Elephas maximus indicus: one gene and its partners. The protein of the gene in region 1 binds, or shares a complex with, the protein of each later gene. Links are inferred from orthologs where the notes say so. Each region holds a gene or a part of one and is shown in the gene's direction. Other genes may lie near its edges.

Region 1 (7,567 bases):
AGGGCTGTGGAAGCTGATGATTCCCAGAATCAGCTGGTCAGATGGCAGGCCACTGGCTCAAGTCCCAAGAAAAAGAGATCAGATAGTGGAGGATAATTAGGAAAATCACAGCAGATCACAAAATGGAGGACAGCCACGCAATACTGGGAATCATGACCTAGCCAAGCTGACACACAACTCCAACCACCACACCTTGTCAGGGTTCCATATTCCTTATTTGCGTGGCCCCGCCCAATCATTGTGTGGAAGCCACAATGACTATGGCTAGAAGGGCTTTATTAAGTAATTTCCTGTACCTGAATCCCCATCCCCACCAAAGCACACACACATAAACCAAAAAATAGCAAACACTCCATTATCTAAATAATCTATCAGCATTTCACCATTTTTTAATTTTAAACTGGTTTACTGATAGATAAATCAACATTTTGACGAGAGTTCTCTGTTCTTAAAAAGGGAACCCCATTTTTGCATTTTTGTGTCACTTAGGCATTATTAATTATAAAATGAAAAGATCAAGAAATCAGCAACACTGAGGTCTGAGGCTTAATGTTTAAGATTATTTTAACTCTACTGAATTAAAGTTCTGAGTAGGGAATGAAAAAGGTAAAAAGAACAACCACTGAGCCCGTAGTATTTGCCAGGAGTCTGTTGTTTTCATTTGATCTTGTGAACTCTATTACAATTAAAAAAAAAAAAAAATTACAATAGCAGCTATCATTTTTTAGTGTATTATGTCAGGCACTGTGTTAGGGGATTTACATGTCTTCTCTCATTTAATCTTCACAGTAACTCCATAAAGTAAATGTTGCTCCCATATTAAAAATCATGAGAAGTCCTGGTGGCGCAGTGGTTAAAGTGATCAACTGTTAACCAAAAGGTTGGTGGTTCAAAACCAACAGTGGCTCTGTGGGAGAAAGATGTGACAGTGTGTTTCTGTAGAGATTTACAGCCTTAGAAACCCTACAGGTTTGATATGTTGGAATCGACTTGACAGTAGTGGGCTATATTAAAAATCAGAATACTGAGGCTGGAAAAAAGTTGAACCATTTGCCCTTGTTTCCAGATTGGGAAAATTGTAACATCAGGAAGAAAATTCAGGTTTGACTGAATGCAAGTGCCGTGTCCTTTCCAATCATTCATTTTTTAACTTTTTTTTTTTTTTTTAATTATAAAGTTATTCTTGCTGTTGTGAATGAGAGGGCACATGGAGAGGGGCTCCTGGGTGCTTGCAATGCTCCATGTCCTGATCTGGGTAGTGGTTACAGTTTGTGACAGTTCACTGAAGTGTTCACTTAACATTTGTCAAGCTTTCTGTTACACTTCCTATCTTATCTAGTGCTGCTATAACAGAAATATCTCAAATGGGTGGCTTTAACAAACAAATCTATGTTTTCACAGTTTGAGAGGCGAGAAGTCTCAGTTCAGGGTGCTGGCTTTAGGAGAAGGCTTTCTCTGTCAAGAAAGATCCTTGTCTCTTCTGAGCTTCTACTCCTTGGTGATCTTCACGTGGCTTGGTATCTATCTTCCACCATCTCTGCTTGGTCACTTGCTTTTTTAATCTGTATCTCCAAAGAGATTGATTTAAGACACGCCCTACAGTAATACTGTATCATTAACATAAGAAAACCCATTCCCAAACGGGATTATAACCACAGGTATACCAAGCCAAACCTGCTGCTGACGAGTCCATTCATAGCGACCCTATAGGACAGAGTAGAACTGTAGCACTTAACCACTGTGCCACCAAGGTTATAGGGATTACAATTTACGACACATATTTTTGGGGAATGCAATTCAATCCATAACACCTCCACAAAACGTTTATTTAAAAAAGGTAATTCATACTGAATACAGAAAATTCGAAAAGCACAGATAAACACAAACAAGAAAGAAAAAAAGAAAATTATTATTCCAAACTAATGGTTTCAGAAGTTGATTAGGTATACCTGTTGCCTTTGAGTAGATTCTCACTCACAGTGACCCTATAGGACAGAGTAGAACTGCCCCATCGGGTTTGCAAGGCTGTAAAACTACAGAAGTAGCCTGCCACATCTTTCTCCAGCAAGTGACTGGTGGGTTGGAACTGCCAGCCTTTTTGGTTGCAGCTGAGCTTTTAAGCATTGCACCACTACGGCCTCCCTGCTTCAGTATAACACCAAATCCACTGCTGTCAAGTCAATTTCAACTCGCAGTCCCTATACGACAGGGGAGAACTGCCCCACAGAGTTTCCAAGGAGCAGCTGGTGGATTTGAACTGCCAACCTTTTGGTTAGCAGCTATAGCACTTAACTACTACACCACCAGACTATCCTTCCTCCGTATAGGAGGAAATCATTCTCCTAAAACAATTCAAGGCAAAAGAACTGCAAGGGAAGACCTTTTTTTAAAAAAGTATTTTTTTTTTTTTGGTTAAAAAGAAATCGTATTATAGAAGTTTTTGGAAAATGAGAAAAGTAAAGTAAATTTTCTTTGTAATTCTACCTTAATATAATCACTTCTAATATTTTGGTACATTGAGTGAATGTCTCTTGCAAAAAGAAATGCTCATAATATTACAGAATTGATTTTGTGTGTACATAAGTCCTTAAAAAGCAAAAAGCTATAATAGTATTGTAAGCAATGTCACTACACTATGAGTTTAAACAGTGTTTTTATATATCTGTGATAGTCCAGGTTATGTTTAAATTTAATTATGTGTTATAGTCTGTTATTTATTGATTTAAAGGATTGTTGGACATGTTAGAGAAAAAGATAATTTTTAACATACAAAGTTCATAAAAACCACAAGATCGCTTAAATCACCCAGATGACAAAGCATGCTGTTATTCATAATTGTCCCCTTTGTGTTCTGGTAGGTCTAATAAGGAACACAAGAGGAGGCAATGAGCTAATGAAAAGATCACTAGAATAGCAGTCAGGAAATCTGGGTTTTACTTTTGGCTGTGCCACTTATTAAAGGCCTCATTGTGGAAAAGTCTCCTAGCCTCTCTGGGCTTTGGTTTCTTGGGCTGTAAAATGAGAGGATTAGCCTCTATCTCAAAGGACACTAAAAGTCAAAATAATTTATGACAGGGAATTTGGCCAGGGTTGGATGCATCTTTTATCATAATAAAGCAAAAACATGCAATAACTGTGGGAAGAGAGCTTGCCATGCCTTATTCGCAACCAGAATAAATACAATGTGTTTCCTGTCCTTCCCCCAAGGATTCATGGGAAGGGGTGGAGGACAGGATAGGGACAGGATGTCCTTCCCTTACATGTCACTCACCAGCCTATATCTTTACATTTTTTCATGGTCATCAGATCTCATATCGCAGACTTTCATCCCACAAAAGAATTAGAGATAACTTGTTAGAGTGACAGTACCGGGGCTCAATTACATTTTCATTTGTTAACAATTTTCGTTGTAGTGTGAATTTGTAGTCACATGACAGAGACTTTGGCGAAGAAAAACATTAAAAAGAAACTTTTAAAAGGAGAGGAACTCGGTGTACCTTTGGTAGGCTAATACTGTTGCCAGTTCGCAGGTGAATGGTGGAAGAAATTGGGAATGGGACAAAGGAAAAAAGAGAAGTGCCTGGATACCTAAAACAGCTTTAGGGAGCAGAAAGGGAATTTTGTTCTTTCAGGTAGTGTAGCTTTGACGTACTGTGAGAGTTGGTTATACATATGTCAATCTTTCTTTGATAATAGGAACTATGTCTTATTTATCTCTACATCCTCGGTGTGGGATATAACTAGTAATCTAGAATTTGTTGAATTGAGTAAAAAACCTGCGGGATAAGGTTAAGAAAAGCAGAACAAGATACCAGAAGCCTTGGATATCTGTAACTTTTACAGGACTTCAGTAGTTTTTCAGATGAGGTGTCAACAAACCAGGATTTGGAAAAGAGAAGCAGAAATTTGCTGCGCTGAGTACAGGAGGGAGGTGGCGAGAGCTTCTTAAAAGTGAAAAAGGATCAGGAAACAGGTCTGAACTTCCGAGTGAAAAAGAGGCAAAGCGACGGAGGTATGCAGATTGCCAGAGCTGAGGAGAGTCTAGGGTCAGAGAACCACCCAAGTCGGAGCCGAAGGGAACGGACTGGTCAGCTGGGTGGAGAACACCCGTCCAGGCGCGATCACGGTAGTTCGCTTTTGAGCTTGTTTCTTAACAGAACTACCAGGAAGCCCTAAAAGATGTGCAACTCTGGTATTTTTGGCGTGATAACTTCCGCGTGTGTATGTGTGTATGAAACAGGCAACGCCGCCCTAGAACTTCCGCATGCGACTGAGGCTGGAGCGCTGCCTACCGGCGCCCAACGCCGGCCCGAGAGGAAAGCGCCACTCCCCGTCCCGGCGGCCCCCATCTCCGCTGGCGGGACTCAGCCACACCCCGGCCCAGCCGCAGCCGGAAAGGCGGCCTCGCCGCGCTCGCCCTGCGCCGCGCTCCGCGACTACGTTTCCCAGCAAGCCCCGCGCCGCCCGCGCGCCGCAGTTGACCCATTTCCCGGCCCGTCACGGGCTCGGCGGCCCCGCGCCTAGGCGGCTGCTCTCTGCTGACGGGTGTGGGCGGGGAGCGGCGGAGGGAGGAGGAGGCGCTGCTGGCCGCCGCTGTTGCCTCCGGTGCTGGGCGCTTGGGCAGCTCCCCGGCTTCTGCGGCCGCCATGGACGAGCAGGCGGGTCCTGGCGTCTTCTTCAGCAACAACCACCCGGGCGCCGGTGGTGCCAAGGGGCTCGGGCCTCTGGCGGAGGCTGCCGTGGCCGGCGACGGGGCGGCCGCGGCGGGGGCAGCCCGAGCCCAGTACAGCCTCCCAGGAATCCTGCACTTCCTGCAGCACGAGTGGGCCCGCTTCGAGGTGGAGAGAGCCCAGTGGGAGGTGGAGCGGGCGGAGCTGCAGGTAAAGACCCTCCCGGCCTGGCCCACTTCATCCCGCCTCTTCGCTCCTTACCGCCCCGCCCCGGCCCCCTCCTTCCCCCGGCCCTCGCCTGTCCTCTCCGCCTTGCTCCCGCCCATCCCACCCGAACCTCGTCCCGGTCCTCCCCTCACCTTTGCCTTTCGCTGACCCCCGTTCCTTGACCTCAGTACCCACTCCCGCCCCTGGTGCGTTGTTTACCCTCCCCGCTGCTTTTCGCCTGCTGCTCCTCACTCATAACTCTCAGTCTCATTCGAACTCTCTTACTATCCTGCATCTTAGGTCATCCCTTTCAGTTTACTAATTGAGCTGACAGTAGTTTTGAGAGACCTCGAGCAAATCATCTATCCTGGTGTGTCCCATCCTGGGCTTAGGGATCTTCCCAGCAAAGGGTATTGGCACTTGGCTCCGCTCTCTGAAAAGAAGGGGATCAAAAAAGACAACAAGTTGTGTCATTAAGGCCTTGACTTCAGGCAAAAGTGTTATTAGAAATACTAACTTTTTTTAGATATGTAAATGTTTCTAGTCCACCCCCTCCTCCCTCCCCCGCATTTCTTTGAGATAGTTCACATTCATGGATTTTGAAGGAAGGATTTAGATGATCACAGTCAGATAGATGGTGGCTCAGAGATGGTTCCTGTTCTCAGAATCTAAAACTTTCCAAGGGCTAATTTTATTTGCATTGTTTTGTGAGATATCCCATAACTTTAAAAAGAACTACAGGGGCTTAAAAGTTGGTTACATTGCTTTTTGATGCATAGTCTGCAAGATAAGTATATCCAGGGAGGAGCGGTGGTGGCTTTTATAGTTGAATGAAAGTGAGGCGGATACTTTACAGGCCATTTTGAGTTGGTGAGTAGGCTTTCAGTGGCTGATCTTGAAAATTCCAAGACATACACAAATTTCACAAGGAGTTTAAAGAATTGTGAATGGCTGTACCTTTCAATTTTATAGGCTAATCCTGTCTGTTTACAAAACATGAATCTAGTTTTGGTTGGGGAAACACTTGAAGTTCACATGCCACCTAGTGTGTCACTTTGTTTGGTAACGTGCATTTTCTTTGGCACTTAAAGAAAAGGAGAAATCTATTAAATAGAACCATGTGCTGGAATGGTCTCCTTTGGTGTAGTGGAAGTGGCTTTGAGAAGAGGAGACAGGTTCTAGTACGAGCTGTGCTTACTACTGTGACCTTGAGGAAATCCTTTAACCACTTTTGGCTTCCTTTTCATAATTTATTCAGAGTATGTTTATTGAGCGCTGGCTATGTGATTCTAGGCCCAGGGATTAACAAGACCTACAAAGCCTCTACCTTCATGGAGTTTGCCTTTAATCAGGAGGCAGATGGGGGGGGTGGGGGGAGAGGGGCAAGAAGATGGCCTGTAGTGGCAACTACTATGAGGAAAAATAATTGGGATACAGAAATAGAGTGTGATGGGGTAGCTGTTTTAGATGGGGTGGTCTGGGAAGACTTCTCAGAGGAGATGACATATAAGCAGTTAAGTGAAGCAAGAGTGACTCCATTTCTACAATTCTGCTTTTACAGTTTCTACGGTTATATGTTTATATATTCTTTGTCAGCTTTTTCATCCCTACAGTATTTGGTCTTTTCGTGTTTGTTATTTTTATAATAATGAGTCTGACGGTATAAGTAATCAGCAGATTTGATTGCTTATACCATCACTTTTATTAGCAGTACAATCTGTAAATAAACCTGTGGATTTCAGACTTCAGGGGTGATTTAACTTTGATGTTGAAGAAAATAATTGTATGTAGCTGCTTAAATTTTAATTTATTTTTCAGTTTAGGGAATGTGAGATAAGTCAGACTAGTTCGGTCAGAAGCAATCAAGAAAACAATACTTTCCTTCCTACATGTAGAAGTTAGGGAACTTCCAACCCACCCCATCCTTTCCCCTCTCTCCTCCCCATTCCCCATGTCTACACTTTTTATCTGTGCTGTAGTCAATCTTTAAAAAAAAAAAAGGAGCCTTGGTTATACAGTGGTTAAGAGCTCTGCTGCTAATCAAAAGGTTGACAATTCAAATCTACCAGCTGCTCTTTGGAAACCCGATGGTTCTATGTTCTAGAGGATTGGTTGGAATTTACTCCACGGCAATGGGTTTTTTTTTTTTTTTGGTTTTGGTGGTCAATCTTAAAATTTAGACACAGACACAGAGACATATGTTTCTGGGTTATTTATGTCAAATGTTGAACTTTAGGTAAGTTTCCCCATAATCCCCATCATATTAAGGGTACAACTTTTACAGTATCTTCTGGTTCGTGGTCAGAGAACAGAAGTCTACTTAAATATCAAATTAAATTAAGCTTCTGCAGAGAAAATTTTAAACAGTGTCATTTTTTCAAACAGTATGTATTTGTAGGGAGGGGGGAGGGTTGGCAGGAATCTGTGGCCTGAGTCTCCCTTATTAGTATAATTGAAAGTGTTTCTTTCTTCAATTACCAACGTCACTAAATTTGAACATTTCCCTTTTGCCATTGGAATTTTCCTGGAAAAACAATAGGCTGTAAAAGAGTTGAATGAATTGCGATGAAATATGAAGCAGCTGATGTCTTTGTTTTAATTTTTAAATCTCTTCTCAAGCCATTAACATCAAAGTCAACAAAAATCACTTTAAGTCTAATTTGTCCCTTCAGGAACCTGTCAGTCCTGCT
Region 2 (7,932 bases), on another chromosome or scaffold:
TATATGAAGAACAGCAGGGCATCAGGATTGGAGGAAGATTCAGTAACAACCTGCGTTATGCAGATGACACGACCTTGCTTGCCGAAAGGGAAGAGGACTTGAAGCACTTACTAATGAAGATCAAAGACCACAGCCTTCAGTATGGATTGCACCTCAACATGAAGAAAACAAAAATCCTCACAACTGGACCAATGAGCAAAGATTGAAGTTGTCAAGGATTTCATTTTACTTGGATCCACAATCAACAGGCATGGAAACAGCAGTCAAGAAATCAAAAGATGCATTGCATTGGGTAAATCTGCTGCAAAGGACCTCCTTAAAGTGTTGAAGAACAAAGATGTCACCTTGAAGATTAAAGTGCGCCTGACCCAAGCCATGGTATTTTCAATCACATCATATGCATGTGAAAGCTGGACAATGAATAAGGAAGACCGAAGAAGAACTGATGCCTTTGAGTTGTGGTGTTGGGGAAGAATATTGAATATACCATGGACTGTCAAAAGAACGAACAAATCTGTCTTGGAAGAAGTACAGCCAGAATGCTCCTTAGAGGCAAGGATGGTGAGACTGCGTCTTACATACTTTGGACATGTTTTCGGGAGGGATCGGTCCCTGGAGAAGGACATCATGCTTGGCAGAGTACAGGGTCAGCGGAAAAGAGGAAGACCCTCAACGAGGTGGATTGACACAGTGGCTGCAACAATGAGCTCAAGCATAACAACGATTGTAATGATGGCTCAGGACTGGGCAGTGTTTCGTTCTGTTGTGCATAGGGTCGCTATGAGTCAGAACCAACTCGATGGCACCTAACAACAACTCTCTTTCTGTCTCTCTTTAACAATGCTTCAGTTTCCAAAATGACTTCACATAAATTAACTCATCTAATCCACAGTTCATAAGGCAGGTAGAACTATTTGACAGATAAGGAAAGAAGGAATAAAAAAGTCTGAAGATGTTTCTGTAACTTCTACCCTCTATTCAGTTGTGCTTTTCTGGTAGCTTCTTAGCAAAAGAGGGACATGTTTGGCTCCCTCTCCTATGGGATTATTTTTCCTTCCAGATGCCAAGTGAAGCGTAGTTCAAGGAGCTTTTGCCAGGTAAAGTGAGGACTCTCTGGGACTCAAAAATGGTGCCAGTTTAAGTAGTTCTATTTAGAATTCATGACCTGGTCACAGCTTGGGGACACAGCACTTCATTCAGGAAAGTTTTCCACAGAAGCCTCTCTTTTTTTTTTTTAACTTTAGGTGAAAGTTTACAGCTCAAGTTAATCTCTCCTACAAAATTTTATACAGGTATTGTTATTTGACATTAGCTGCAGTCCTTACATTGTGACAGCACACTCCTCCTTTCTACCTCAGGTTTCCCGTGGCCATCCAACCAGCTCCTGCCCCTTTCTGCCTTCTCATCCTGCCTCCAGATAGGAGCTGCCCATTTGGTCTTGTGTATCTGCTTGAACTAAGAAGCACACTCTTTAGGAGTATTATTTTATGTTTTATAGTCCAGTCTAATCTTTGTCTGAAGAGTGGACATTGGGAATGGTTTTAGTTCTGGGTTAGCAGAGCATCCGGGGGCCATGGCTTCAGAGGTTCTTCCAGTCTCAGTCAGACCATTAAGTCTGGTCTTTTTATGTGACGCTTTTTTCCCACCCCGTCAGGGACTTCCTGTTGTGTTCCCCGTCAGGGCGGTCATTGGTGGTAGCCGGGCACCATCTAGTTTTTCTAGTCACAGGCTGATGGATTCTCTGGTTTATGTGGTCATTTTTTTCTCTTGAGTAGTATTTCCCTTGTGTCTTTGGTGTTCCTTCATTCTCCTTTACTCCAAGTGGGTTGGGGCCAATGAATATATTTTAGAGGGCCGATTACAAGCTTTTAAGATCCCGGATGCCACTCACCAAAGTGAGACGCAGAACATTTTCTTAATAAACTTTGTTATGCCAGTTGACCTAGAGGTCCCCTGAAACTATGGTCCCCAGACCCCAGCCCTGGCTACTCTGTCCCTTGAAGTGTTTGGTTGTATTCAGGAAACTTCTTAGCTTTTGGGTTAGTCCAGTTACCACACAAGCATTTATTTAAAAAAAAAAACAAAAAAAAAAGCCGTGTTACCTGTGGATATTGAATTTGAACAAGCAAGAAAAACTGGAAGCAATGCACATGTCCATCAACAGGTGACTAGATAAGCAATGGAATACTACTCATGAGCTTTGATACCTTGAATTTCAAAATAATTATGTTGAATGAAAGGCTAAAAAAAAAAAGAATACATAATATGTGATTCCATTTATATGAAATTGTAGAAATGCAAACTAATCTATAGTAACAAAGTTTTTCAGTGATTGACTGGAAATGGGAGCAGTGGTAATGGGTGGGGGGGAATTACAAAGGGCCACAAGGAAACTTTCTGGGGTGATGACTATGTTCATTATCTTGATGGTGGTGATGGTTTTATGGGTGTTTTTGTATGCTAAAACTTACCAGATTTTATACCTTAAACATGTGCTCAACAAAGCTGTTAAAATAGATTGAATATAAAAATTTTGAAAACACAGGAAAGTACACAGAAAATGAAAATAACCTATGTTGCCACATATGTTATCACATCGATTCAGAGATAAAACCTATTAAGAGGTCAGTGTATTTCATTCCAGTCTCTTCTCTATACACACACACACACGCAGAACCACTTGTGTATTCAATTATATCACAGCATTTTTCCATGTCTTTAAAAATTCTTCTTAGTATTATTAAGCACAAATATTAGTGGTCTCTCCATATTCTATCCTATGTATACCCGTTATTCAGTTAGCCACTTTCTTATTGGCTGTTTCACAAATTTGGTTAGTCCTAACTTTTCATGTTTGAAAGTATCACTGCTGGTAACATCATCATACATATATCTTTGTCTAAATATGTGATTACTTTCTTAGGATCTATTCTTGGAAGTGGAATTACTGAACCAAAACCTTCCCCTTTCCTGAATGTAGTTGAAACGGTATAGGGCATTGGAAGGTCTAAAAAATAATTTTCCAGGTGATAGAGTTTATGATAAGTCAGTCTTAGAACTTGACCAAGCTGTGTTCACTGAAACTAGATGTCTGCTTGCATGCTGGGCTGTGTGAGATTACCGATTTTATCTAAGAAGTCTCTCAACATTTGTCCTTTTCCTGTAAATTCCTTAGTTTTTCCTATAAAGTTGGCTCCGTTCAGCTTGGATGAAATGCTAATTTAGAAATGGTATTACTGGATATGAGAGGGAACTGGGGCAAAGGACAGGAAGGTAGGTAGGAGAAAACAGCAACATGGTGGCTCTGGATTTATTAATTTACAACAAAGGCTTTTTAAGCACCTACTGGGTGGGACAATGGGGCCCTGGTTGTGCAGTGGTTAAGAGATCATGCTGCTAACCAAAATGTCTGCAGTTCAAATCCACCAGCTGCTCCTTGGAAACCCTATGAAGCAGTTCTACACTGTCCTATAGGGTCGCTTCGATCAACTCGACGGCAACTGGTTTGGTTTTGGTTTAGGTGGGACAATATTGGTCCTGGAGAGACAAAAATGGATAAGGTGTCTCCAAGCATGTCACAACATAGTAACAGGTAATTATTACATATCACCTCCTAGATGTCTAATGAGCATCTCAAACTTGACATGTCCAAAACAAAAATCTTCCCCAAAACCTGTTCTTTCTCTAAGGCTTCCCTATTTTAATAACTGAGACAACCATCCACCCAGTTGTTCAAATAAAAAATCTAGGACTCATCGTTTATTCTTCAGTGCCTTATCCTCCACATTCCAGCTTATCAGCAAATCTTCTCAACTCTACCTACACAATATAGAAATATCAGCCTTAGTCCAAACTGCCATCATCTCCATTAAAATGGCCTCCTAACCTGCCTACCTTCATCTACTCTCTCAACTCTCCAATCCCTTATCCAAGAGGAGCCAGAGTGGTCTTTCAAACATCAGATCATGCCACCACCTTGGTTGACACCCTCTGATAGTTTTCCGATTCACTTAAAATCGAAGCTCCTTTCCGTGACTTTGAAGGCTCTGCCTCATCTGACCCTCATCTCCTTCCACTTTTTCCCGGACTCACTCTGTTCCAGCCACAATGACCTCAGGGCCCCCGACACGTAGCTGGTCCTTCTACCCGTGTTACCGCCATGAACCTTTACTTCTTCCAGAACTCATTAAAAGTGTATCTTCATGTCTGTCTTCCTTGGCCAGCCTACTGAAAATAGTCGCATTTCCCCTTCCCCAGTCTCCAGCCACCATTCACCCTCTAATCCTTTACACTTTTTTGTTTCCTCACAGTACTTTTTTCCCTGTTATGTTTATTTGCGTGCCTCTCCCACTAGGCTCTATGTAAGTACCCATGCAAAAATTTGACTTGCTTCCCATTTTTTTCCCATTCTATCCCACTGCCTGGAAAAAATGGAGCAGAGGAAATATTCATTAAAAGTTTGTTGAATGACTAATTAGTACTTCTCACTACTGTAACTGCTTTATTTATTCATCTGTTTGTTTAGTGTATGTCTGTCCCCATGTGAATGTACACTCCAGGAAAACCAGGACTTTGTTCATCTTGTTCACCGCTATATCCCCAAAGCCTGGAACAGGGCTATAACAGAGGTAAGTGCAAAGCGAAGTTACAGCGATGGAGGGGGCAAACTAAACTAACCGAAGGAGCCAAGGGGAGACCTCACAGATAAAAATGACATTTAAATTGGGACTGGAAGGAAGACGTGGAAACAAAAAACGCAGAGAAGGAAAAGAATATTTCAGGCAAACGGAATCTCGCGAGGTGACGGGCAGTCAAGATGGCGTCCAGCGCCTGCCGCCACACGTAATATGGCGACCAGGGAAAGTTCCTGGAGGAAATCACGCGAGAATTGGGTCACGGCGACAGTCCGAGAATTGAGCCGGGGGTGTGGAGCAGCCAAGATGGAGCCGGCAGCCGGCGGCCCAATCCCGATGATGGTGAACAACAAGCAGCCGCAGCCGCCGCCACCTCCGCCGCCCGCATCCGCGCAGCCTCCACCTGGGGCACCGCGGGCCGGCGGGGGCCTCCTGCCCGGGGGCAAAGCCCGAGAGTTCAACCGCAACCAGCGCAAAGACTCGGAGGTCGGGAGCTCGGGGGGCGAGGCTGGCATCGGGCGGGCGGCTGTGGAGGTCCTGGACTTGGGGCCGCTCTGGGGTCTAAGCTCGCTTCCTAGAGCGGTCGACGGGCCTGGCCGGGAGGCTGTCACTTTACGAGAGAAGCAGGAAGCAAGGCTGGCACCCCCCTCGGGCCGGGGGCGTGAAGCCGGGATCCCGCCCGGATCCCTGCCGCACGGGAGAACCGCCCGGAGCCGGGTGATCGCTGGTTTGCTGCTCTGGGACGGGGCTGTGGGCGCTGCCTGGGGGACCCAGCCCCTAGGGAAAGCTCCCCATCCCAGTTCGCGGGTGAAGAGTCAGCGGTCTTCGTGCTCTCTAGGGGGCCAAGGTGGCTGCGCCCCCATCCCCTGATCGTCGTCTCTCGGCTGCTGATCCCAGGCGCGCGGGCGCCGGGTCGGTGGATCCGCAGCGCGCTGTGGACCGCGTGTGTGGGCAGGGAAGGGACTGGCCAGTGTTTAAAAGGCTCTTTGAAGCCGGACGGAGCTAATTATCACTAATAGTACTAGCTCCCAGAGGTTGCAAGAATGGGAGGGAGTAACACTCCCTGTTTCTCTCCTTAGCAGGCTCAGGCCATGATGTGACAGTGTTTGGTGGCTGCTGTGCTCAGTGCGCCTGATGCTGAACTGTTAAGATCAGGAATGTACATTTTCAACGTTCCTTAGGGCTCCTCTTCCCCCTCCCCTCTTGCTAGTGGGCTGTTCCTCCAGTACCAGAGACTGTAATCCTCTAGTCTGGAGCTGGTCGATTCGTAACCTCACCCCGAGTTAAAGAATTCCTCCCACTGCCTCCTTTTGTAGAATTCATGAATGAAGACACACACTTGGCAGCGTTTTAGGACTTCTTAATCAGCATGTTCCCAGGCACTTACTATGAGGTCGGCTTCACCTGAGACAACTCAGAGGAAGCTGATCAAGCGGTCAGGCTCTTATTTATGAGCAAGAATTCATCATTGTCCAAGAAAAACTATCGGGTCATTCCAAAGAGTGATGATACTATCTTTAGACCTGTGAAATCAGTTCCTCGCAGACTTCTGTTTTTTGTTGACGGTCCTAAAGTCTGGTAAAATATGTCAAAATTTGGCAAGTCCAAAGTAGAGGTACCCTGAGCTTGAAGTGAATTGTTTAAAAATCAAAGAAATTGACCTTTCAGGAACCCTTGCATGGTGGGGTGGTGGGAGGGCCATGGCGAGGACTTGATACCTTTTTAGGTGTGGAGGGTTGTGAAAATGCACCTCTCAAGATGGTGTCTTCTTAATAATCACCTATTCCTTTGCCGAATTCTCCTCTGTGTGGGGGAGGGAAGCCATTCTGTGAGGCTGCTGCCTTTTCCGTCTGTCAGTTCTCACTGAAATTGGGGAGAGGGACAAGAAGGCTGAAGCGCTTCAACACCCACTTTGTCCTGAGCTGCTGATAGCCCAGTAGCCAGAAAGACGTGAGACTTCCAGAATCTTAGCACCGTGCAGAGTGGTCATTCAGTGCACAAAATACAGAGAAGCTTTGTGTTCACTGATCTAACAAGCACTTATTTGAGACATAAACTATTAATTCATTCACTCATTCATGCCAGGTACTTTGCTGGGCATTGTGAAATCTTTGGTGAACAAAATGGACAAGTTCCTGCTTTCAAGGAACTTGCACCCTCCTGGAGAGATAGACACTAAACAAAAATTCTGACACCGAAAAAGTGCTATGAGGGAAAAGTATAAGATGCTCTGAGAGGGTTCCCTGGGTGATGCACGTGGTTAATGTGCTGAGTTACTAACTGAAAGGTTGGAGGTTTGAGTGTACACAGAGGCACCTCAGAAGAAAGGCCTGGCAATCTGCATCTGAAAAATCAGCCATTGAAAATCCCACGGAGCACAGTTCTACTCTGACACACATGCAGTCGCCATGAGTCAGAATCGATGACACCTGGTTTCATAAGCTAGGACAGGAAACAAAGTATTTTGATAAAACATCAAAAAAGTGGAGACAGTGATGTTCTATAACACAACATTGTGTCTGGAGAGCATATGTCTCTTTCTTTTAACAATGCTCGGAATGATCTTTTGCATAAAGCTCTCTCTTTTTCTCAGCAGGGCTATTCCGAGTCGCCAGACCTTGAGTTTGAGTATGCAGACACAGACAAGTGGGCTGCAGAGCTCTCTGGTAAAGCACAGAACTTTGTATTGGTTGGGAATGGAAGAAATAGATTTTTTTTTTCCTTATCGATATATTCTTTCAGAAAATTAAGAGTGTAAATATATTTTGGAAGTTTCTTTTTCTTTAATTAGTGCTACTAATAAGATATATAAAACACGTAACCGTATTTTTACATAAATGACGCGTGCCTTCTATGTTTGTTTGCCAGCCTTGCCCTTTCCCTGGGAGATATTTTCAGCTGTCAAAAAAAAAAAAAAGGTAGCGTAGTGTGCTTATGGAAATACCTGGTAGGGGGTAGAGGGAGTGTGCAGTTGGCAAAAAAAAAACACAGAAGGTATGCATTATTTGTGTAAAAATACAGTAATTTAATTCAAGCCTTCAGTGTCTCATGACTTGGGGTTGCCCATCACTTTTATGAAGCATCTGTGTGTAGTCAGCTCAGTTAGCTGTAGGGTTCAGTCCCAATGTGGGGACAGCTAGTGATGTTCTCTCCATAAATTATCCCCCAGCAGTGATCTGTCCTCGGGCAGTGGGTCACAAGGGATGCCAGCAAGTGCGACTATGTCAGTGCATACCCATCGCTGCTGCTGCAGCACACCTGTGATGTGAGGCCAGCTTAAGCTGTTTCTCAAGCCTCC
Region 3 (7,924 bases), on another chromosome or scaffold:
CACTGCTAAGAGTAGTGCCAAACGAACGTGAAGAAGGGAGATGAATGATCATTTCTAAGTCAACCTGTATCCATCAGCATCTGGCAAAGGTATTTTAAAATTAACCAAACAAAATCCAGGTAAATATCTGTTATTATTTGCTTTTACTTCTAATAAAGAACTGTTTACAATTTGCTAAAATTCTCCATGTCTCATAATAACAAAAGAAAAAAATATCTTCAAGTTCTTAATTCTAACACTGATAAGGATAATTTGTTTCTGGAAGATCACATATAAAATAAATAAATAAATGCCCACCTCCATATATGCTTAAGCACCATCGGATTTTTTCTTCTTTCCTGTTTTTAAAGGAATGACTAGAAAAATGGAAGAGCAAATTCAGTTTTTATGCAATAAAATTTTCTTCCTATAATCAAGCTTCAAAAATGGTATGTGTCTAGGAACTTGAGGTAAAATGGTGATGAGCTAGGGACAGCCCTTTGGTTCCACCTGTTGGGGGGCCTTTTCTCCTGGCACATACTCTCTATCTCAGGAACGGATGTAGAAACTTTGGAACCCAGAGTCGTAGATGAGTCTGCAGCCCACCACAGCCTGAATCAAATTGGCCTCCATCTACACTTCTGCAAAGGCTAAGCAGCACAAAGCAATTCTCGGAAATATTCTATAGGATTGATTGACTCTTGTCTCTCAAACTATGTTTCAATGTGTACATCGAAGAAATACTGGCCAATATTTCTAATTTCAGTAAGTGGATATAGGGCAACTTCTTTATGTTGAGTGTTATGTGAGGTACTGCATGAGATAGAAAATAAGTACATGGTCTCAAGAAGCTAATAATCTAGTCAAAATACGTTCCAAAGTCTGAAAAAATTAGAGGCAAGACTATAAAAAATAAAACCTTTATCTTTACATAATGATAAATGTTGATCCTCAAAACAGTGTCTAACCTTAGAAGTTTGCTTTAAAAAATAGATAAATAAAAAGGGCCCCCTGGCCCCCCCAAAGAAGCTCTTGTTCATCATTATTGTCTGATTCAAGTACCTCTATTATTAAAGGGGAAAACATTATTTTAGGTTTTTTGTTCTTTTTGCTTTAAATAATATGTTTCACATGGAAGTGAACACATATATGTATGGTCTTTTCTGCTTTGCTCTAATGATCCATTATTATTCAAAATGCAATGAATTCATGTTGGCCTGACTCTAGTTAAAATGACAATGTAGGAAAGTAATGTCTCCCACTTTGGACATATGCCTATAGAAATTAATGATTAGGGAAAAAAAAAAAAAAGAAAAGGTGAAGTCCCTTAACAAAAAAGTCAAATCTCTTTTCTCTCTTGCTAAGGGTATATTCCTCAAGCAACTTTCTTCCTATTTGGCACCCCCTCTACATGCACCAAAACCGTCTTGCTCTTCGGTCCTGCATGAATCAGTGAATCCTCATTAGAAAGAGAAATCCCTGCTACTCAATTATTTTTACTCAATAGGCTTGAGTCAGAATTTTTAGTTTAAAAAACAATCCAAAAGATAATGTAACTGGAAATTAACAAAGTCTTTTGACTAAAGAACTGTAATCCCCAGAGAAACTTCCATTTAAGAGAGACATTCTGAACAGGTTTTTTTGTATCATGCCAATCTCCCTGATACGTATACGCAACTAGTAAAACTCAAGAACACTAAATAATACCCTTTTAACCTAGGGAGTGCTTTAAATAAAATTATAAACTGCCATATAATAACTGTCTCAACACTGGTAGAGTCAACAGAAGTCTTTAGATAATCTGAAATTTGGTATAAACATCAACTTAAAATGTGTTAAGAGTTCAAGGTAATAGATAAATGCCCATGTAGTATACATTGGCAATCATTTTCTCCCCTATAAAAGCATGGTCCTTCTACTCTTAAATGATAAACAAGAACCCAATCTCTTTCATTGACACATTAAGATACGAATCTGGGAAACAGGCAAAACATTTAGTATTTGAATACCACAAACTCATTCATTCCTGATAAGATTCTAGCCTTTATGACAGCTGAGAACAAAAGGCCTGTAAGTAGTTGGAATTCAAAGTTCATCTGAATCTTAACTCTTCTGATATTTATTTTCTACCCTATTTGCTTGACTATTAACTGCTTTCCCAACCAAATGCTTTCCAAAAGATCTTTTAATAGCACTCTGAAAAAACTTCACTGTCATTATTATTATTACATGGGGGAAATAAGCCAGTGACAGTAATTGTTCGATTTCACAAAATCAATCAGTAGCAGAGACTGAGAGAGAATCTAAGACTCTGATTTAGGACAATCCACTTAATCACAAACAACAAGGGCAAACACAATCTTTTCTAAACCTCACTATACCCTATTCCTTTTTCTCCCCTAAAATCATTTCACATCAAATAATCAACTACGTGGATTAAGAGGCTGTCCTGTGACGTAGCAAAGATAAAATCTGATCCTTACAATAGCTACGAAGTTTGGTGGCTGCCGTTGCTTTTTCTTTCTCCAAAGCTCTGTTTCTTCTAACACCTGATCTGCTCCTGGACAATCTAAAAGCAGCTCTTTCTTTCTTGTTTTTTTTTGTTTTTAAATATTTCTCTGGTGTGTGAATGCAGGAGGGGGTGCTGAAAAGGAGTATATATATATTGTTAAGTCACTTACGCTATTAAGCACTTATAGGAGTGAATGTTAAACTACAAATAGAACTCCTTTGAGCCTTGTCTTTTCAAAAAGGAATTTTGTGCACATTAGAAAAATAAAATTCTATTAGTCGGAATTGACTCGACTGTAATGGGTCTGATTTTTGATTTTAAGTAAAGCAAGAAAGTGTGAAAAAGAAAACAGAAAGCAATTATTCTGTTTTATTGGCCCTAGCTCAAGAAAATCCAGATTAAAGTATTCAGACAGACTCTCTGAAATATACAACTGTCACAATGAAGGCATTTCAGAGCAAACTCTGCTGCAATATGCTACCATGATTAAAAGCCATGTAATCTGGGGAACCTCTGTAACGAAAAGAAAAAGGCAAATGAAGTAGGCAAACATCTTTTTACATACTTTTCTGAAAAGAACAGCTGTAATTGTATCAGTTATAAAAAGACAGAGGCAACTTCCATCTTTGCCTAATATTAAAACGTATTTCCGTCCATCAGCATGTAATTACATTCAAAGATTTACACACGATTTAATACTGTGAATTATTTTATGACCCTCCATGTCTTTTAAGTCTGAAGCCATCACAACATATACTAAGGGCAATCACTCAGTACACACTCTCTACAGAGGAGAGATCCTTACACAGCTTTTCTTGTACTTTTGTTTTTTAAATGTACAAATATTACCGGACACAAATGAAAGAATAAGGAGCAATGAAGTACGCTATATGTTCCCACTGTAGGCTGAGTCCGGGTCTTTGTTTCAATATTCCAGAGCCACTGGAAGGAAAGCTAAGTATCCACCCATTAAAACACATTTTTACATGTTTGCTGGCAAAAGTTATACTTCTGATACGTTCAGTCATACTGATTATTCCTGCCTGCATTCGCTTCCTTAACACAGATCTCTTTCAATTCTAGGAACCTGCAGTACAACCACCCTGGAAAACAGGTCGGAGCAGGACAACCTGATAAACCAACATTAAAGGGCAGACACTGAAGAAGAATGCAAACTTATTTTCTTAGTGGAAGAGTTCTGAAGTAATTCTGTATCAATGACATTTTTGCTTTTTACTAGCTACGCACCTATCCAGATTATCGTCCACCTTGTCCTCAATCAGCAGGGTTTCCCTCAATTTTGGAATCTCCCAGAACAATTTTAATGCTACAACTGAAAACACTAACCACGCCCTTTTATGCCCAGGGTCTAGCCACCTTTTGCTTTTTTCCCCTTAAAGTCCAAAAATGTACGTCTTTCACTCAAAAGGGTTTGCACCGGTTTCCTAGCCTGAGGCAGAGACTCTCTTGGCTGTGCCCTGACACAATTCCTATAGAAGAGGCTTTTTCATGGGCAGTAAAACCCTGCAGTGTGTGGACGCCTGGAAGAAGCACCCACGCTTACCTCCCACACACCTGCAACCCCTCGCGGGATGATGGAGCTGATGCTCCGAGGACCGCGCTCAGCTCCTGTTCCTGCTCTTGCTCTCGTCTCTCCCGGGCAACTACAGTCCAGGCGGCGCCTTCAGCTTCTACAGGGACCCAAGCTCCGCCTCCCCCTCCTCTAGTTGGCGAATTCGGCAGCTGTTGCTCCTCCCCCTGCTGTTCCTGCTGCAGCCGGGGCGGCAGGCGGCGGGAAGCCGTTGCCCGGGTACCTCCCGCTCCTGCACTTCTGCAGCTCTTCTGCCGCTGCCTGTCCCTGGAGACCCCTGTCCCCTCACTCGGTGGCCTCACACCTGGAGCTGCCTCCAGCCCCGCCCAAGAGCCTCCGCGGACAGCCCGAGCTCAGCCTATCCAGCCCCGACCCGCGGCTCCGGCAGCCCGGAGTGCCTGGAACTCGGCTGTTCTCGAGGAAGCTGCTCCTCGGGCCGCGGCGCGTCTCCACACCGCGCCTTCCCTTGGCCGAGATGACTTTCCCAGGGCTGCCTCTCAGCCCGCGCGGAATACCCATACAAGCAGTCCCACGTTCCCCACCTTGGGCCCCTCCCTCCCTTCCGTCCTCTGCTCTGCTAGCCCGCCCCCACAATGGGTGAGTTGCCTGCGGGGCAACCCTGCACCCTGATTGGCGCAGGTGAGAGCTGACCCCGCCCTTCCTCTGCTTTCCGTGCACCCTTTCTCTTCATCTCACCTACTGCAAAGGCAGGGAACTCTTTAACTATTGGCTAGAAGTGTCCCCACCCATCGCCTTAGGCTCCTCCGCATGGCCTGCCGGGAACTGTAGTCGTCTGAGTTCAGGAATTGCCGGCAAGGACCTCGGATGGGACTACGAGTCCCCATACGCCCTTGCGCGACTCCGGCTGGGCAGGATTCCGGACAACGCCTGGTTCCTCTCGGGTCCTTCCGGCGTCGCCGGAGTGAATTGATCCGGGAGTTGAAGAGGGCTCCAAAGGTGGGAAGCGGAGTCAGTGCCCCAGTTGCCGGTAAGGTGTGGGTGTTCTGTTTCAGTCCCCGTAGGTCTGAGCGGAGCAGAAGAGGTCTGGGTCACACAGGGGCCGGGGCTAAGGCACTCGGGTTTGCCTCTGGCAGGCGGAGCGGACGGGGCTGGGAGCGGGGCCCTATGGGCGTAAGTGAGGTTACCCTACGCGAGTGGCGTAAAGGGGGTTTGTAAATGCCGCCTGCCGGGCTTGGGCCTGAGCGCCTCCAGGAAGTTTCCTCTAGGTGGGGGCGGGAGGGGAAGGGCGAGGCTGGCCTCTGGTGCCCCGGGAAAGGGCAGAGGGCGGATGTGCCGGGAGGGGGGGGGTCGTCTGAAGGTGTGGCTAGAGGCGGAGAGATGAGGCTGCTGTTTCCCCCCTGCTTTGGAGGTAGGATGGGGAGGAGTGGAGGAAGGAAGGAGTGTATGGGAGGCTGCTCTTAGGGGTGACTCGGGTTATGCCCTTTGAGAGAAGAGAACTGTATAAGGACGGGTCAAATGTTGACGGGGACCCACGGATTAAATTCCAGTTTCTTGATGTGGCTTCTGTAAGGAGCAATTTTGCCCTGAGTAGAAAAGCTTGACCCTGTTATGTGTAATACCTAAGATGTTTACCTGTTTACTGTTTTCAAAGTACTTTCACATCCTGCTGCTAATGAAGAAACTGAGGCAATAAGTGTCACACACGTAGGGACAGATCTTGTCCAGTTCTAGTCCAGCTTCTGAGTCAGAACTGCCTCTCAAGAAAGAAAGAGTAGGGAGGTTGGATGTGTCTTTTTAAAAAGGTGCAGGGTGGAGGAAGTTACGAAGTAGTGTATCGTAGTTATTTCTAAGAAGTCATTTGTGAGGTGAAGAGTTACTAATTTTGAGCTGGGGTGAAATTCCTCAGTCTAGAGGAAAGGCCCACTCTGACCTTTGAGAAAAATTTTTAAAAATCAGTTTCAACTTAACATATTTTTCTTATTATTAGAAGTATATTAAATGATAAATTTATAGCCTGTATTATTACCACATTCCATTTTAAAGGGTATATAGGAGATAAGAGAATGTCAACTAAGCAATATATTACATCCTAGTTACAAGAACATTCCTTTCATTTCTTATTTTAGGACTATTTTTATTCTTATTTTGTAAAACTGACGACAGTGGTATTGGAATTATTCCATAAAACTTACTTTATACTTTTTTCAAATAAGGTAGTATCCAGAGAGTTTAGTGTGCTCGATACAAGTAAGGGAGATACATTGCTTTCCACAGAGGTAACATCAAATTTCCTGCTTGGGATTTTTATATTCCTGGGTCTGTGTGTGTTTAAATAATAAAATCTGGATCTAATATGCTTTTCCTATGATTTTTCTTTTAATTTGTCCTTATTTTACATTAGAGAGTGAAAAAAGAAAAGAAAAAAAAAGGATGCTTATGTTTCATATCAAGCAGAAAGCAGTGTGCTTGCTCCAGTCTTCCCAACACAAACCCACTGCCATCAAGTCCATTCTGACTCACAGCAACGCTATAAGACAGAGGAGAACTGCCCCATAGAGTTTCCAAGGCTGTAAATCTTTACAGAAGCAGAGTGCCACATCTTTGTACCTCGGGGTAGCTGGTGGACTCAAAGCACAGACCTTTCAATTAGCAGACACACGCTTTAACCAATGTACCATGAGGGCTCCTTCGTTCCAGTCTTACACCCTGTGATTGTTGTTATGACCAGTTATAAAAAAAAAAAAAAAATGAATATTATTATTGAATAGTTCTTTAATAGAATGTCAGGATTAAGTTCATTGACATCAGAATTTCTTTGTAATAAGTTTATCCAATAATTAGATACCTAGTTATAGTCAGCGGAAATCCTGGTGGCATAGTGGTTAAGAGCTACGGCTGTTAGCCAAAAGGTCGGCAGTTTGAATCCACCAGGCACTCCTTGGAAACTCTGTGGGCAGTTCTACTCTGTCCTGAAGGGTCGCTGTGAGTCAGAATTGACTCCACGGCAACAAGTTTGGTTTTTTTATAGTTAGCAGGTGACCAGTCATGGCTGGCTTTTTTATAAATTGATCATTAAAATATGCTGAATTTTTAATACACTCTACAATTTATTATTAACAATGTATTATATTCCCCTATGGTTGAAGTTAAAGTGGTCTGGAAATTAATGTGATCTTTAAAATAGAAGCAAGTTATGATCCTACAGATGAAGTAAAATCCAGAATAATGTAGTACCTAGAGTAATGTAGTACACAGGGAAGGCAGAACAGCTAAACAAATGGAAAACTATGTGAGGAAACTGTGCTAAATATTAAAAAGGTAGTTTAAGCAGACCATGAACTGAGCATTAGTCAGTGACGGTAAAACAAGCATGTTAGTGTATTTTCTAGGTGGTAAAAATGACGTTTGTTTTTTGTTGGGGGAGGTAGGAAGTGATTGTAACTTTTTGCATGGAACTAAAAGAGCTTTTGAATAAGTCAGGAAAACTTGGAAAATAAGTTAAATGAAATTAAGTATAACATAGTTGGTGTATTTCATTGTATGTTGGCTTTGGCCTTAGTTCGATTCTACCACTTTGTCTTCTTTTTATCTTTAAGGTTGATTATAGTTTTGATGTTTCATCTATGCTGGAATGGTGCAAACCAAAAAAAAAAAAGCCAAACCTGTTGTCTTTGAGTCGATTCCGACTCATAGTGACCCTATAGGACAGAGTAGAACTGTCCCATAGGGTTTCCAAGGAGTTCCTGGTGGATTTGAACTGCTGACCTTTTGGCTTGCATTGGTAGCTCTTAACCACACTACTCCACCAGAGTTTCCTGGAGTGGTGCAGTAATGTTTTATTGTATTTTTCATTCTTTGAAGTCATATTCTGGAGTACTGTG
Region 4 (7,927 bases), on another chromosome or scaffold:
TGTCTCTCTGGATCCATCAGCCATTAAGAAGGCGGCCTCCTGAGTATTTGGGTTCTACCTTAGTGTTGGAATCCGGTCATTATTCGCTCTACCCTTGGAATTAGAGCAAATGTCCCTTCTTCCCTCCACGCTCTGACCTGGGTATCTGGATGCATCCTGGGTATCTGGAAGCATGGGAGAGATAGCTCATCCCTGTTTCTTTGTGTGTAGCCCTGGCCTGTGGGGCATACATACCGTTTTCTCTACAATGAATTTGTGCTAATTTTTGAGTTTTTTTTTTTTTTTTTTTACTTTCTTGATAGGAATATTCAGTTCTATTTTTCTCATTAAAAAAAGTATCTGATCTAACTACCCTCTACCTTCCCGCCTCCCTATCCTACCCTCCCATTTGAGCACGGCTCCCCATGGCCACATACTCCTGCAAAGCTTTTTTGCTGCTTGACTTTTCTCTGAACAGATCTGAAACTGCTGCTCCTGTGGTTTTCTCAAAATTAACTTAATCATGGTTTTAAAAATGAAATCAGAATGCATTGTTGCATTAAGCTTTTTTAATAAAGGAAAATTACAGAAATAAAATAGGCAACACCAGCAAATTATATATGGACAAGTTCTGAACTATATATACATATATATATTATATATATATATTAAAAAATCATTAGTTCTCATTATCGTCATACTGAAAGGAAATAAAGCCTTGAGGATCTCCATTTCTGAGAGGCTCTTGGAAATCTTTATGTCTGAGTAATTGTAATAGATCAGCAATAATGACCATGTAATCTCAAAAGACAAATAAAATATTCCCAAAATGGATTCTGGTTTTGAGTGTAGTCCTTGCTTCTGTGAACTAGGAACTCAGCAGAGATGTGAGAAGTCTATGGGCAACAGGCTAGCGAGCCTACTGTAGGGAAAGGATGGGAAAAGCTGAAGCAGTTACCAGCAGGCATGTTTGAATGGCCCTAGCCTTGAGACCCTTACTCCATGGTGGGGGTAGGGGTGCACTCCACTAATACCTAATCCTCTCTGGCTGTGTTGTGTAAAGGACCTGCTTTCTCAGAGCCAACATCCTGGGGAGTTGAGAACTGTTTAGGACAGAGATACTAATGCCTGGCTCTAAGTTTCCCAGTTCCTGTGTGTGCTGCCCTAAACTGGAGAGCACAGGAAGCCAGCATCCCCACTGCTTGGGACCAGAGCACCCTGACACTCAGGACCTGACTACATGCAACCAAGAGGAAGAAAGAAATGAATCAGGTTGCATGACTCAATCAGAAACTAGAGGATGAATCCAGCTGTCTCTTCTTTACCAGTAGAGTAGCCACCTTCTTTAGTCAACAACCTAAACTGGCTCTACATTTTACATGCAAGATGCTTACCTACATCCCTTCCTTCCCTATCAGAATCCTCTGCCACAGGAATTTACCTAAGCTAAGGGCTTTTTTTTCAAGGGCCTCAGGGCTGAAAAGTCTGGGTCCTTGGTAATGGTTCAAAGCTGGTACCACTCCAATTGAGAGGAGGAGGATGCAGCAGCTAACACCCAGGCCTGCTCCGCTACAACAGAGCTTGCCTCCTGTGAAGGATGGAACCTTGGGTGTCCTGGGTCCTAGGTTCAGACTCACAGGGTAAGCTCAGGCTGCCCACTATTGTGCAATTTCTTCACAGTATCGTGGAAAGAGGTTGGACTTTGAACCAGACTAACTTAGGTTTGAAATCGTGTGACTTGGCCAAATTATATGACCATTCAGAGCCTCAGTTTTCTTGCCTGCAAAATGGATGGTGCTTATCTCCTAGAGTAAGGATTTAACGACTGATGTCATGAAATTCCTCGCCTCAGTAGAGGGCCCTGCAGCTTCCAGGGCCCTGCAGCTTCCATTGCCTCGTTACATCCACACATGCATGTTATGGTGGATGAGGGTGTTCTATGCTTTTTCTACTACATTATCCTCACTGCCTGATAGCCTCACAAACCAAGTCCTTTAAGACTTGCATCATATTTTTACACTTTCTCAGTGCCAGGTACAGTCTATTCAATCAGGTCTCTGATCCCCATGGATTAGAGTGTTTACATGAGGGAAAGAGATATGTTTGGTCCTTGTAATTATACCTATTTACAATCCTCTGCCAGTGGGCTCAGAATACCTGAATTTGGGGAACAAAGAAAATTGGCAGTGCAGGTCCATCTGCCTTAAAATTAACAGCACTGGAGCCATCCCTAAGATGGCAAGACTTGTAGACCAGGGCCTGACTAATTAGCTCTTAGATATATATTTATGGCTGCCTCTGTGGTCAATAGTATTGATGGCTGTCATTCTTGACAAATAAGCTAAAAGAAAGGGAGTACGTGCCAATTCCATGGCCTATAGTTTCAAAGTTTTCAATTCATCTCTGGTTTCTTGTTATTTCTTACAGGCCTTATTTCCAGATGCCTTCTATCTTATGACAAGCTCTGAAAGTCTGGGTCTGTAATGAATGAGCAGACTGTCTGATCTTTACTGTCTCCCATTCCTCTAGGGGGTGGAAAAGATAATGGAGTGAGGTCTCTCCTCCATTGATTCTTTGCAGTCTCCATAGCACCACTTTTTCAAATCTCTTCAAAAGTGAAGCCAGATGGAGCTCTAGGCTCAGCAATTGGCTAGAGATGAAGGCCAGAGGGGACTTGAGAGGGTCCTCAACTCTCCTCCCAGGTGAAAATTACTCTCCCCAAGGATAGGCAGGAGAAAGAAAAAAGCCTCAAAACTGGCCCCTCCTATCTGCTGTCTCTCCTGGGGGTCCTGCTGGTTGACTAGGTTCACATAGAGAATGTGAAGTTTTCAGCCCATCAGTCCTAGCTCTGGCTGCTAGGAAGAGAGGTATTAGGAAAAGGGAAGGTAGAATAATTAATTCTCTTTATTAAGAAGCCCCCATGGGCTGTGCTGTGGCAGGTTTTACCACGCTAAAGCAGTGATGAGCTAGGCGTGGGCTGTGAATTTTAAAGCAGAGCATGCATCTCTTAAGAGTTGTGCAGATTATGCCCCCATCCCCCAGAAATTCCAAAATCAAGTAGCTTAGGCCTTGAGCCAGGGCCTTTTTTTGAAATTCAAACCAGTTTGATTCTACTAAACTAGTGGGTCTCTGTTGGGAAGAGTTTGGCCCCAGGGGACATTTGGCAATGTCTGAAGACTTTTTTGTTGTCACAGAGAGAGCAGGTGCTGCTGGCATCTAGTGAGCAGAAGCCAGGGATGTTGCTAAACATTCTACAATGCACAGAACAGCTCCCCACAGCAAAGAATTATCCAGCCCAAAATGTCAACAGTACAGAAATTAAGAAGCCATATGTTTAACATGGAGAAATGAAACATACAAAAATGAGCAAGACTTGGCCCTACTCTCAAGGAGTTTATATATCCAGGTTTGCGGGGGTGGGATGATAGAGGAGTGGGGGGTGGGAAAAGAAAAAGGAAACGGGTGGGTACAATAAGGAGATGCTGGGGAGCAGGGAAAGAAAAGAACCCAGATAGCTGTAAGAAGTGCCCCTTCTCAACTCTGCCTTGATCTGTCCCCTACAGACTAGCAGAGGGAAGCATGAGGGAGAGATATGGTTAGGAATGGGTTAGAGTTGTCCCCAAGACATGAGAAGGAAGAGTAATTCTTTTGGTGCCCTTGCTTTGGAGAAAATGTAAGGATTTTCAATCCAGGCAGGATGCCAGCCCAGCCTGAGTGGGTTGAGGAGGGTCAAAGGAAGATTTCCCAGAGGAGGAAGTGATGCCTCCGTAGAACCTTTAAGGAAGGAGTCAACCAAGAGTACAGAAAGTTTCCCTCAGACAGGACAGCATACTCAAAGACACTGAGACAAGAAAGAGTAAGATACCTTGGGAACTGCAAGGAGTAATTGTTCTCAGTGAGTCCTGGTTTCCTCATAAGTAACATTAGGTTAGTGAAAACAACCTATGAGAGAGAGGTATGATATGATACCTAGAAAGTGCCTAGTGCAGGGTCTGGCACAGAGGGCGGTTCAGCTCAGCAGTCCCCCCCACAACCTCTTCCTGGCTGTGGATGGTGATTTGGTGTCACCCATTCTCCTCTGGGGGGTTGTTTGGGGACTCCTATGACCAATCTAGACTGCCCTAGATGTTCACTGTAAGTTGCTTTTTAGGTAAATTCGAAAGAGGGCAGTCCACACAGCCTCAACTGCCCCCACCCCCCACCACGCCCTCCCGGTAACCCCGAGCCTTACGAAGGAGAGGAAAAGGAAGGAAAAGGCTGGGAAGCCAGTGGGGTTAGTGGTTTGATCTCCATTCAGCATTTACTCCCTAACTCACACCATGAGGAAGGCGCCCCAGAACAGCAAGGAAAAGCAGAGAGATGACCAGGAGCAGCCCTCAATTTCCAGAGCGTTCAGCAATCTCTGTAAACTAAAAACGTGACCCCACCCCGCAGCTCCCTAGTCTCCCAGCCAAGCCGTCGCTTCAGGGGAGGGGAGTGATGCGTTCCCTTCAAAAATTTCAGCTTGCAGGGAGGATGAAGGCCGAGATCCTCCTGTTCTGCAGGATCCCCGGCCACCTGGCGGTGCCATGTCTCCCTGCGACAGAAGCGGGATTTGGGACGCTTGCAGGAGCCAGGGTTTGAGGGGCAGGGGTCTGCGATAATGGAAAAGCAGACTGCAGTGCGGCAGGAGACGGAAACTAGGGCTCCCCTAACAGGAAACGAGAAACAGAGATACCCTGCGTGAGCTCAAGGCCCAGAATTCAGGAGGTGGAGCGGGGAGCCAGCCCCCCAGGCTCCGGCTCCCAGCGACGCCGCAGTATCCCTTGAATGAGCCCCACTTCGTCCCAGTCCCTCTCGGAGCCGCCGGACAGCCAATCGAGTCTCGGGGCGGGGCTGCGGCGAGCGGCCTCAGCCAATCGCTGCGGAGGGGCGGGGTCGGGCTCGCAGCGCGCGGCGGCAGGGGCGCCCTAGGCAGAGCGCGCAGGGCGCCGAGCAGGGCGGAATGGAGGAGCCGGCTGTCGCTAGGGCCGGGAGCCCTCCCGCCAACGGCAACAGCAACGGCGGCAAGGCGAAGCAGGCAGCGCCCAAGAGCCAAGAGGCGTTCCGGAGCCAGCGGCGCGAGTCGGAGGTGAGGGGCCGGGGAGACACCGCGGGCGGGACGCGGCGGCTGAGGTGATTTTGCCCGACCCCTCCCCCGCCCCGGGGTCCCAGGCGTCCCGAGAGCCTCGGCCCCTCGCCCCGGTGCTCCGAGACCCTGGGCCCCGGGCCCCGACGCCCCCGGCCCCCAAGACCCCGGGCCCCTCGCCCCGGTGCTCCGAGACCCCGGGCCCCTCGCCCCGGTGCTCCGAGACCCCGGGCCCCTCGCCCCGGCCCCGAGACCCCGGGCCCCTCGCCCCGGTGCTCCGAGACCCCGGGCCCCTCGCCCCGGCCCCGAGACCCCGGCTCCCTGAGGCCCCAGCACCCCGCCCCGGGGCCCCTCGAGGGGCGCCAGCGGGGTTCTAGAGTTCGGGCTCTGCGGCCGGTGACCCCCTCCATATGCCTCCTGCAGCGGGTCGGGGGCTTTCTAGTCTCTGGCCTTCCTCCGGGGCGCGAAGATGTAGCGCGTGGAGAGTACCAGACACTCGTCGATGTTCTCTCAGTCAATCGCTGCAGCCCCTTGAGGGAGGAGCTCCTATTCCCATTTTACTGAGGACAAACCGAGGGAGCTGGTGAAGTGACTGGCCCCACGGCGGGGAGGCTAGAGCTCAGCCTCAGAATAGAGGGGTCGGAGTTGGGGGGCAGTCGCCCCCCTCCTCCAAGGCTCCACAGGGTCCCAGAGCTGGCCTTCCTCTCTGCCTTGTTAGGCTCTTTAGGAGGTGCTGTCCACAAACGTGAGGATCCCCACCTGTAAGGGTTAATCAAGACAGGATTAGGCCAGGCTGTACATGAGTATTTGGATGGAACAGTCCCAGGACTCAAACCCACAGTTAGGAGACTGGGTACTACCTCTTCTCCTGAAAAGAAATCCTAACTAGGAAGATGAAAGAAGTGAATAATTGTCATCCCACCCCCCTTCACCCTGCAAACAGGCCAGTTTTCATCAAATAGGCAAGAGTAGAACTGAATCTGAGCATGGATCAAGCTAATAGAACCACAAAATGTCAGATATAAAAGGGTCTGTAGAGTCATCTGGTGTAGCCCTTTCATTTTACAGATGGAAGAGACAGAAGTGACTTGCCTGAGATCATACATCTGGTGTAATGGCCAGGAGCACCAGCTTCCTGGTCAGTTAGACCAGGGTTTGAATCCTAGCCCTACCCTTTACTATCTGTGTGACTTTTAGCAAATTACCGAGCCACTCTAAGTTCCAGTTTCTTCATCTGTATAATGGAGTTAACACTGTCTACCTCAGAAGGTTGCGATAAAGTTAAAATGAGATAATTGGATGGAAAAAGTTTAAAATCATGCTGGCACGATGTAATTGGTCAGTACGTAGTAGCTCTTAGTACTGTATTACTATCATTGTCATCATCATCACTGCCACCACCACCACGTGGCAGAGGTGGTACTAGAAGCCAGGTCTTTGTCATTTACAGCTAATTATTTGAATAGCACTTTAAAGTTAACAAAATGGTTTTCTGTATGCTTCTGTTTTCCATAATAAGCATAGTAGGAACCCACTCTGTTTTTTTTTTTTTAATAGAAGTGGAGGAAGTGAAAAGACTGGCCCAAAGTCACATCACCTTGCAGAGACAGAGCTTGGTTGTACAGGAGCCCTTTTGCCTTGCTAGGTCAGTGTATTGTCTACCACATTGTCCACCCCCTGCCTCAGAACCAACCTGGCTTTTTTAGGGCACCCTGTGCCTCCTTTCACAGAGACATTTTTCTTGCTGGGAAAAAAAATTTTTTTTTGAGGGGTTAGTTAACTCATTAATGCAACAATTATTGAGTTCTTTTGGCCCTGGTGGCTTAGTGGTTAAGAGCTCGGCTGCCATCCAAAAGGTTAGCAGTTCAAATCCACCAGCCGCTCCTTGAAAACCCTATGGGGCAAGTCTCCTCTGTCCTATAGGGCTGCTAGGAGTCGGCAATGGGTTTGGTTTTGGTTTGGTCTCTATATGCTGGGTATTGTGTTAAGTGCTAGGGATACACCAGTGAACAAGACAAGGTCTTTTGCCCTTGTGGAACAAACAGTAGTGGGGGGAGGCAGATAATATTCAAGGAAAAAAATCAAAATAATTTCAGAGCGATAGGTGCCAGATCGCCCTTCTGAGGTAGGAGCCTCTTCCGTGCATCTCAAGCCTTCCTTCAGCACCAGGCACTGATGGCACTGCATGAGCATACCAGATACTTTACAAATATCATCTCTATTAACTGCTGCAGCCCCTTCAGACAAGAATTCATGTCCCCACTTTGCATGAGCTCCGCACCCAGGGACTCCGAGCCTTCCACCTGCGCCGCAGTTACCTCCTGACTGCCCGCAGCTGCACTTCCCATGCATGCCTGGAAACCAGCAACTGCAGTGATCACCGCTATCTGTGGTCATTGCCTGCCAAAAGGCTGGCTGGGAAGATTAGCTTCCCTCCACTTTCGCTGCAGCAGGAGACCTGCTTCTACCTGTCAGTACCTCCCCTGTCACCACAGCACCCAGGTGCCAGGCTCAGATGACTATCTGTGTTCCCTTCCCTCCTTCTTTTTGCTTTCCTATAGTTTTTTTTTTTATAGAAGATAGTCCTCAGGGAAGATGGTTTTCTTTCCTCCCTTGGGCTTCTCAGTAATTACTAGAAGAGAGTTTCTGATGGCATAAGCCTTGTTCCTTGTACACCGCCGGTTTTACAGGGACACTTTTGGCCTCCTCTCTCCCAGTGGCTTACTGTATGAAAATCTCAGCCTAGAAAGGAAGCTAGACAATAATTGTTTCCTTAGTGAAAAGATTCTTAACCTAACAAAAGGATTCACCGCAGGCCTGTTTGCAACCAGATCCTCTGGT

The links.
Region 2: STRN (region 1) and STRIP1 share a complex: the UniProt entries of both Homo sapiens proteins name them as parts of the core of STRIPAK complex. The link is inferred for Elephas maximus indicus from reciprocal best matches to the Homo sapiens genes STRN and STRIP1.
Region 3: STRN (region 1) and PDCD10 share a complex: the UniProt entries of both Homo sapiens proteins name them as parts of the core of STRIPAK complex. The link is inferred for Elephas maximus indicus from reciprocal best matches to the Homo sapiens genes STRN and PDCD10.
Region 4: STRN (region 1) and STRIP2 share a complex: the UniProt entries of both Homo sapiens proteins name them as parts of the core of STRIPAK complex. The link is inferred for Elephas maximus indicus from reciprocal best matches to the Homo sapiens genes STRN and STRIP2.

What each region holds. Positions count from the first base shown.
Region 1 is NC_064844.1:27,388,813-27,396,379, forward strand, and holds the start of STRN (striatin), read left to right. Parts: upstream 1-4,551; 5' UTR 4,552-4,646; coding exon 4,647-4,880; intron 4,881-7,567. UniProt on the Homo sapiens protein: Calmodulin-binding scaffolding protein which is the center of the striatin-interacting phosphatase and kinase (STRIPAK) complexes.
Region 2 is NC_064821.1:171,316,493-171,324,424, reverse strand, and holds the start of STRIP1 (striatin-interacting protein 1), read left to right. Parts: upstream 1-4,916; 5' UTR 4,917-4,940; coding exon 4,941-5,120; intron 5,121-7,227; coding exon 7,228-7,300; intron 7,301-7,932. UniProt on the Homo sapiens protein: Plays a role in the regulation of cell morphology and cytoskeletal organization. Required in the cortical actin filament dynamics and cell shape. Part of the striatin-interacting phosphatase and kinase (STRIPAK) complexes.
Region 3 is NC_064841.1:33,488,957-33,496,880, forward strand, and holds the start of PDCD10 (programmed cell death protein 10), read left to right. Parts: upstream 1-4,908; 5' UTR 4,909-5,070; intron 5,071-7,924. UniProt on the Homo sapiens protein: Promotes cell proliferation. Modulates apoptotic pathways. Increases mitogen-activated protein kinase activity and STK26 activity. Important for cell migration, and for normal structure and assembly of the Golgi complex.
Region 4 is NC_064826.1:20,707,204-20,715,130, reverse strand, and holds the start of STRIP2 (striatin-interacting protein 2), read left to right. Parts: upstream 1-4,924; 5' UTR 4,925-4,963; coding exon 4,964-5,089; intron 5,090-7,927. UniProt on the Homo sapiens protein: Plays a role in the regulation of cell morphology and cytoskeletal organization. Required in the control of cell shape. Calmodulin-binding scaffolding protein which is the center of the striatin-interacting phosphatase and kinase (STRIPAK) complexes.